Xenopus tropicalis: one gene and its partner. The protein of the gene in region 1 purifies or fractionates together with the protein of each later gene. This does not show direct contact. Links are inferred from orthologs where the notes say so. Each region holds a gene or a part of one and is shown on either strand. Other genes may lie near its edges. The genes, in order: lgals1.1 and fn1.

What was found.
Region 2: the proteins of lgals1.1 (region 1) and fn1 purify together in Homo sapiens (affinity purification with mass spectrometry; 3 studies listed by BioGRID and IntAct, with this or other methods). This does not show direct contact. The link is inferred for Xenopus tropicalis from reciprocal best matches to the Homo sapiens genes LGALS1 and FN1.

What each region holds. Positions count from the first base shown.
Region 1 is NC_030680.2:122,672,690-122,677,264, forward strand, and holds the start of lgals1.1 (galectin-1), read right to left. Parts: upstream 3,011-4,575; 5' UTR 2,915-3,010; coding exon 2,906-2,914; intron 1-2,905. UniProt on the Homo sapiens protein: Lectin that binds beta-galactoside and a wide array of complex carbohydrates. Plays a role in regulating apoptosis, cell proliferation and cell differentiation. Inhibits CD45 protein phosphatase activity and therefore the dephosphorylation of Lyn kinase.
Region 2 is NC_030685.2:58,721,663-58,725,481, forward strand, and holds part of fn1 (fibronectin precursor), read right to left. Parts: intron 3,594-3,819; coding exon 3,399-3,593; intron 2,221-3,398; coding exon 1,948-2,220; intron 1,771-1,947; coding exon 1,504-1,770; intron 647-1,503; coding exon 552-646; intron 1-551. UniProt on the Homo sapiens protein: Fibronectins bind cell surfaces and various compounds including collagen, fibrin, heparin, DNA, and actin. Fibronectins are involved in cell adhesion, cell motility, opsonization, wound healing, and maintenance of cell shape.

The DNA of each region.
Region 1 (4,575 bases):
GTTCAGCTGAGCCACAGAGAAGCAAGAAACAAACCCAGAATTAAGCTACAACAGTACCTACATACTGTAAATCTTAAAAAAAGCAGTATAATATGATAAATACTGAGTTAATATTAAAGGGAGGGGGGCTGCAGTTAGTAATTGCAACTTTTTTCCTCCATCAGCACAATCTGTGCCAGTGTCTGCATGTTTTCAGGCCCCATTCTATAGACAGTGACCATCTCCATTTTGAAGCACAAAGTTTTCCTCTGTCCTTCCCTGACTTGCATGGGTGTGGCATATGTAAATGAAAGAAGGGGTAGGGAATGGAGGCCCAGGTGTCATCTGTAGTGGATGCCATTCACAGAGGTATTTGACAATGAGACAAGCAGAGAACCTTGCCACGAGCGGCACTTTGCAGCCACTGTAACAGACACGTTTCCCTGGCCCTGGGGCCCGCTCTGAGTGCAGGAATGGGAAGTGCATGGGTGGCACTGGGTTTGTCCCCTCAGGCAGCAGAGAGGTCAGAAGCTCCCAAATCAATGCTTATCATTTTAAACTGGCATGATTTTAGTAGGGCTCTTATTTACTATTTAGGGTAAAGTACAAAATATATTTTCCCCCCAAATGCAGCATTTCCCCCCCTGAATTGCATGGTAGTTACACCAGCTGAAAATTATTAGGTACAGTTGGTTGCATAAACATCGGAGATTCCGCAAATAAATATAAATGTGTTTTTTAGACATAACTGATTAGTCTATACCGAACTTGTACAAAGCATTTTCCAACCCATTTTATTATACAGCCCATCCCGCACCTTGTTCCACTGGGAAGTGATGGATTTGGAGTCTTTATGCCCCTCTGTTTCCATAGTGTGTTGGACTCAAATTGCCTGTGTAGGGTTCCCCAAATTTTGGGTCCCCTAGGATGGTTGCCCCGGGATAGACCCCAAGGGAGGGTAGTACTTTAGTAGTGGGACACCTTGGGTGGTTGGCACTATAAGGGTTAACAGGGAGTTAGCTTCTCCTGCAGTTCAATACTTAGGCCACAGGGTGCACACAGTATATAAGGCTGTGCAGCCATGTGCCTGCAGGTCTTTCAGCCTGGGACCCCTCTTGGAGAAGAGTTTAACAACAGGTCAGAGTTAGACAGTTAGAGATTTGTTATAGACCACTCTAGGAGTGGGAGACAGGCAAGCTAGCTGGGCAGCGTGGCCCCGACAGGAGGATTTACTGGATTAAGATCCACCAGCACTCATAGCTGGAGTCAGGGTATAAAGTGCTAAGTGTAGGAGATTTGCCTAATCCCGGGGTATCTAAGTGGAAGTACCGGGGTGAGGTCTGCTGAGGGGGTGTCCGCTTGGCGAGAAGTACCGGGAAGTGCCCTAAAGAGGGGCTTCTGGCGAGAAGTACCGGAGGGAACCCCTAAAGGGAATCATCTGGCGTGTAGTACTGCTAATATCTCGTGGAGAGAGGGTCTCTTAAGGAAGAGGGATTGTACCCTGACTGTCTCATTGCTCCTGTATGCAACCTGCCTGTCTGATACATCTGTGACAATAAATAAGTTCCACTGGTTAAACATCAATCCAGTGTCCTGTCTCTGCATATCTGGAGGATCCACCTGCCTGGTAAGCAACTACCCCAGGGAGGGGGCAAGGTGCCAGGAGTGCTGGGAGTCCCCACACTGCAGTACAGTATCAAGTTCCCAGGAGGGGAGTTATAGTTCATTCTATCCCTATCCTGGGTGGAGGCACGCCAAAGTACAGAGTAATAGCTGTTCCCCAAAGTAAGCGGGGCTCAGGACTCCTGAAAGCGCCAAGTATAGTGATATATCAGCAGGTAGTGCCACATCTGTTTATAAAGTGGGCTACACCTGGAAAGCAGAGGGACTTTAAGTCCCAGAATGAATCAGTTCACAATAGAATAAGGTGAGGGAGGGGTCGCATGACAGTGTGAGCCTAAGGGAGGTTGGGAAATGATTTGTATGAGAAAGACGACAATGGTTTCCATTTAATCTGAGAAATCAGGTATATCTGTGTAAAAAAATACATTTATATCTGGAAGTTCAGATAGTATTTATGCACCTTTTCTACATAAACCTAAATGAATGAGCTTATGTCTAAACGGGGGTATATTTTCCCTTTAATGCATTATCAAAAGGGCACACTATAAAAAAAAACATGCAGCAAGAGCAGCTCTACTAATTGCATTTAACATATAATTATATCAGAGAATCTGTTTTGTATTTAGTTATTAGCACTAGAGGAAGTTGGAACAGACAGAACATTCAGGCTCAGGACCCCATCACCGCAAGGAATCTCTTCTAACCACTAAGCTGCCGTGTCTGCGTTTCCTCTGGGTACCCAAGCCCCTATAGGCTACAAATATTTCCAGTTCCAGATTATAGATACAGATGCTCTGGACTTTCTGGGTGGGCTGTTACGTGTCATTGCGCTACTCCTGGTGCACTGGGTGTGGCAGCTCCGCAGTTTGATTTCTCCAAATATGGTTTATTTTTATACAATAAATTAGCTGCACGGACTGCAGTTTCTCAGTCCCACGCCAAGGAATAATGTTCCGTTAGGGAAGCCAGAAAGAAGAGGGAGGGGTTGGAGGGGAAGAACAGAAAAAGAATTTAAACAAAAGAAAAGTAGAAAAGGGAACAAAGACAGACGCGAGATAAATGCAGAATGCAGAAGTGTGACATAGGGAAGTTGGGAAAATATGGAATTAAAGCACATATACAATTAGCCAATACAAATAAAAACTTTCCTACAAAAAGTGAAGAAAAGAACTTTATGACAAGGAATATAGTAAATGCAGTTATAATCAAAATTCCCCCAAGTGCTTGCTTGTTTAACCATAAATGCCCACACCCAGTGCCCACCCTACGTATTCACACACACAGCCATCATTGCAATACTTACAGCTGCCATTTTTCCACGTCCAATGCTTCTGGTTCAGTACCTCTAGCTTGGTTGGCTTTATATCTTTGGCATGGACCCCACCCTTACCCAATCATAAAAGCTAGCGATGAGGGGTGTTGCAACATTGGTCCAGCCCAAATGAAAGGAAGGAGGTAGAGAGGGAGAGAATCTGCATGACATACTTTCCATATGATGCGTTTAGACTTTAGAAAGTCTAACAAAACCGAGAAGAATAAAAAAAAAATAAAAGCTTGCAGAACCCAATTTTTCTACAACTGAGCTACACGGACTACTCAGAATAAAAGCACATGAACAACACACAAGTGAGAGAGAGACAGAGGAAATATTCATACAGTTGCAAATCCTAATTAGATTATTAGCCTGTTGTTGTTTAATAAAAGTAAGGATGTTATTATTAGGGAAGGAACCCATAAAGAGAAAGCTATTTGAAAGGAAATAGGTCGGTAAAGCCTTTGTATTTTTGTTGTATCCGCCTGAAGTAAGCTGCCCTTTCTTTTTAAACTGTTTTGCTGAATCAAAACTGCATTTATTTTTCGTATGTTGCTGCTGGCTGAATAAAAGCCATTTTTGTTTAAGAGACTTTTGACTGTCCTGGCATTTACATTGAGTGACCCTGCCATACTCTTAAAGAAAGAGATCTGATTGGATTGTTTGGTGGATGTCAGCCATACTGCTCAGTTGACTTGACATCTATGTTAGCTTAGGGCTTCACTTTGGCAGACCATCTTATGACCCATCATTTTCAGATAATCGGTCTGGCTTGGGGGCTACCCGGTACCTTAGCAGATAAGGAAGTGAAAATGGGTCACAGCTCCTCTTCCCTGTATGCAGACAGTTGTGCAATTTAGACTTGTCTGGCCTGTAGGTTAGATACCTTGAAGGCTCAGCCAGTGTATAGCTGCCTTTATCTGTGGTCCTACTATTATTTTTCAAGAAACAGGGGCTGGCTTAGAAGCTAACTGCAGTGACTGGATCCCTCAATCTTATGTTGTCAACACTGTGGAACAAGTCAGTTCATCTTCTCAAGCCTATATGTAAATAATATACCCTCGAATGGCTGCTACAAATGCTCTGTCCTACCCTCTTTTCCATTATCATGTGCCTATTTTCAATACTTACAACTGTTATATATGACTTACAATTAAGACACAAAGTACCCTGTACCTTATGTTTGCCATTGACCAGGCACTTTGCTACCTTATAAATGAGGCGATTAAGGGCCAAAAGACAGAAATGAGAATGGGCTTGTTTTAGTCAAGTAATTCCCAATAAGGGTCACCCTAATAAGACAGATTTGTCCATGTAATTACAGATAATGAAGTAAAACAACTATTTGTTATCTACCACCCACCATTGACTGTGTGCTGGCTCCTGGGTTATTAGCTTGCTCAGTCCTTCAACTCAGTAAGGTTGGTTTACCTACTGTATGGGATAACTTAACCAGGTACAGGTTCAGCCCCCCACTTTATTAAATAGATTAAACTCTATTACACATCTCAAACTGCAAGAATCAAAAATGGTAATTCTCTGCCCATAAATCTATGCACATTTGTCATCTTTCAGAGCAAATCTGACACAAAACACATTTTGCAGGGGCCAATAATTTATATGAAGTAGGTCTGCATGAACTACGACCCCTCAGCTTTCTA
Region 2 (3,819 bases), on another chromosome or scaffold:
AAGCAATATATCTTTATTGTAGCAATACTACAAAAAGGGTCCTCTACAATAAAATAAGGAGGGGGGTTAGATCGGAAAACAGATACTCACCACACATCTGCAGGAGAAAGCATGATATAGAAGGAAAAATACTGAATATTTATTACAGTCTTAGGGTGAATCTGTCTAAGAAAAACCCATGCATGGTTTTATAAGGCTTTAACTTGCAGTTTGCAAAATTGCAGATGCTGTACTGGTAAGAGGTTTTTTTAATATGTTGTATAAACAGTTCATAAAATAAACGAGGTCTGTGCTTTTGCACTGGAGGTTTTGATCATATAGATGAAGCTAAATACGGCACAAACTACACCATCATTTTACCCTATCTGACCAAAGGAGTCCGATTTCAGCCAGGACACCATACAAGCTCAGCAGTGCTCCTCTTTTCTAAAAATGCACCTTCCCAGGGTTCTAAAACTACTGCTGCACTGCCATCTTGTCTCAAGGATCGCCTGTGATACAATGGGCAGTAGAGTAAATTCATAACTTTGACAGAAAAATGTATCACCTACCTTAAACCCGATTCTGGGCACAGGGGTCCAAGTTACCACTATGGTAGTCTCTGTGACTTCAGTGTTGTAAGGTGGAATTGATCCCACAGGTTCCACTAGACAAAAAACAGACATAAAAGCAAAATAATGAGCCACTATATAGTGCAAGGAATTTTTATTGGCATGTGGTAGAAAAAGTTAAATAAGATTATATGGTGGAGAGGCGATTTTATATTAACTCCATTTTCAGTCAAGGGAATTCTTCGGCTTATTTATGTCTGTACTGAAAAAAATTATCCCTGGAAGTTGCCTGAGCCTACATCCAGAAAATCGCTTGAAGTGGTTAGGCACCCGCAGCTAACAATATTCCTCCAGGCTTTTCATGTCCAACAGAGCTTGCAGAATTTAAACCCACTGTGCCATTTAAAATATATTGAAGTATGGATGAAAACATACACTCCACATCTTGAAGAGTACAAATTATCAAATATAATTTTGAAAAAGGCCATATGTGCCTGCTTATGCCACAGAAGGACACACTTCAAAGCTAAAGGGAGGCTGTGAAACATTCCTGGAATACTGTTATATTTAACCCATTCACTGACAGGAAGAGCTAAATCTATTCGGACTGCTAACCAATTCACTGTTAAATTCTACAAGACCAATTTGTTTCATTGCCACTGTAGTAAAATTTCTACTATAAACTTATGAGTTATATTCCATACTCTTCAGGAAAATGTTTTCTTGACATGAAAGGGATGCATTGAATCCAGGATTTGGTTTGGGATCCCTGCAAATTTATACTGCTCAGCAAAACAAACCCAAACCCTTAGTCACATGACTTTTACCACTGAATAAATGAGGGCAACAATTTATACAGATCCAGTTATCCAATTGAGAATGAAATTCAGTTAAAAACAAAAATTACACATTTAGTAAATTCCTTAAAAACAATACCTTTTTCACAACTTACATGTTGAAAAGACACCAGTAGTGCTAGCACTTTGCTGATTGCCTTTGAGGGCAACAAGTGAAATGGTGTACTCTGTGCCTGGGGAGAGACTCTCCAGCTTGTGGTTTGTGGCAGAGGGGTTAATGTGAAATTGGCTCGGCTGGCCTCCCCGGGTTTGACCTACAGACAGCAGGTAACGACCAATTTTGGCTTGGGGTGGTCTCCAGATAATAACAACTGTAGAGTCAGTTACATCTGTAAACTGCAAGTCTGATGGAGCATCGAGTTCTGGATGCAAAAACAAAGATTTTAGTCAACACCATTGGACAGGGCTGTGGACACGTGCACGGCATAAACGATTGGGCACAGCCAGCTACTTTCTGGAAAATATTTGACACAAAAAATTAAAGACACAATGGGCACTTGGATCATCTCTGCAGGCAGCTGAGACTGAAGATGACTTACTGGTAGTGAAGTCTCCAGCCAGGGGTTCACTCTCTTGTCCACGATTAACTGCATACACCTCAAAGGTATAGGTCCTGCCAGGGTGCAAGTTAACCACCTCGGCAAAAGTGTTCCTGCTCACGGGGAGATTCTGCACATCACGGTCAGAGGGACTTACAGGTTTCACAACAACTCGGTATCCAGAAACCTCACTTTGTGGGGGGTTCCACATGATGGTAATTTTTATATCGGTAACTTCCACTAATTGTAAGTCAGTGGGAGATGGTACTATAACTGAAAAAAATAGAAAAAAAAACCCCAACACAATTAGTATGTACTTAGTCTTCTGTGCTTATATTTACTAACTTATAGTAGACTGCTCAAATCTAAATTCAGACTGGTGCAAGAGTACACTTCAGCAATTATGTTGTTAGATCTGCCCATGTACGCAGTTTAATATTGGCCAAGGACCGCACACCCTTCCTGACAGGGGTCAAACCTGGTCCTAAAAGAAACTTGTTCCCTTTTAATTTGTAAAACTGGCCCATGGTTGCAACAAACCCTCCTTCTCTTCTGCTTCTCCACTGGCTAATAAAAGCATACCTTAGATTACTCCCAGAACTTTAAAATTAGGCCACAGAATTACAAATATAGGTCTGGGATTTTTACACCACCACAAACACCTACAGGGATGCAAGACTTGTTGGAGGAAAGGACAGGCAGCCAAGCGCAACAAGCCTTTATTTAAGGGTACCAAGATTCCAAAAAAGCAAATACAGCCTTTTTGAAGCACACTTATTTCCAGGAATTAAAAGCACAAGATTTAAACAAATCCACTCAAGTCTCATTATTTCTAGATTCAGTGGAACAGTAAATCCTTAAGAAAATGTATTCAGATTTTATAAAAAAAAAAAGTTAGATATATTAAATGTTTGAGCTTTATCAAAGTTACAAAACATCCAATGTCTTCAGCAATTTTCTTGCAGATTAAGCTTTACTTTTTTTTTATTCCCAAGTAACACCTTTACCCCTCATATATAATAGGAATCCCCAAAACCAAGTGAGCAGTAAACTAGCACATAAATCAACTATACCCCCCATATCAACTTTTTCCCCTTATCTTTGCTCTGCACATCACACTGAACTCTTGATACAATTGCATGCAGTGATTGCCCACTGCACGTTTTAATAGCCAAACTTTGGTGTAAGCCCTTGCCACCCATGGGAATGTTGGCAATTTATTTTAGTAGTAGGATCTGAAATCAGACCACATGAATTTTATCACACTCAGTCTACACCGAGTATCACTTTAATGCATTCCCTACATACTACTCTTTCTCAGCATTTCATGGGTATTTCAGGTACATTTTTATCCCCTTTGGTACCGTCACTTGACTAAGCAAGAAAGAAAAAAAATGGTTTATACTTAATCAAGGCAGTGCTATTTGGCATTCAAACATGTCAGGCATTACCTGTCTGTGGAGTTCCAGTTGTCCCTTGCTGAATAAAGATGGGAACACTTTCTAAACTGTCTTCCACTGCATAGATTGTAATATTGTATTCAATTCCTGGGAGCAGCTCAGTCAGGCTCACTGAAGTTGCAGTACTTGGGAGGTTTAACTCTGTGCTGCTGCCTTCTACAGATGGACTGTATACAACCCTGTATCCTGAAAACAGCATATGAAGGATATTTTAGTGATTAATAGGTGAATATGACACTTTAAAAATGAATCACTAATCAATGCAAACCATTTATTGTTTTGAACCAATGAAAAAATGTGCAGATTGGTAGAGCTTATTTTTTTAATATTCTTTATGCTTAGGTTGCAAAGCAGCCTGGAGTGTCCAGCGCCCAATAAAAATAGGAGACCATAGTGGTAGCACTGCATGGAG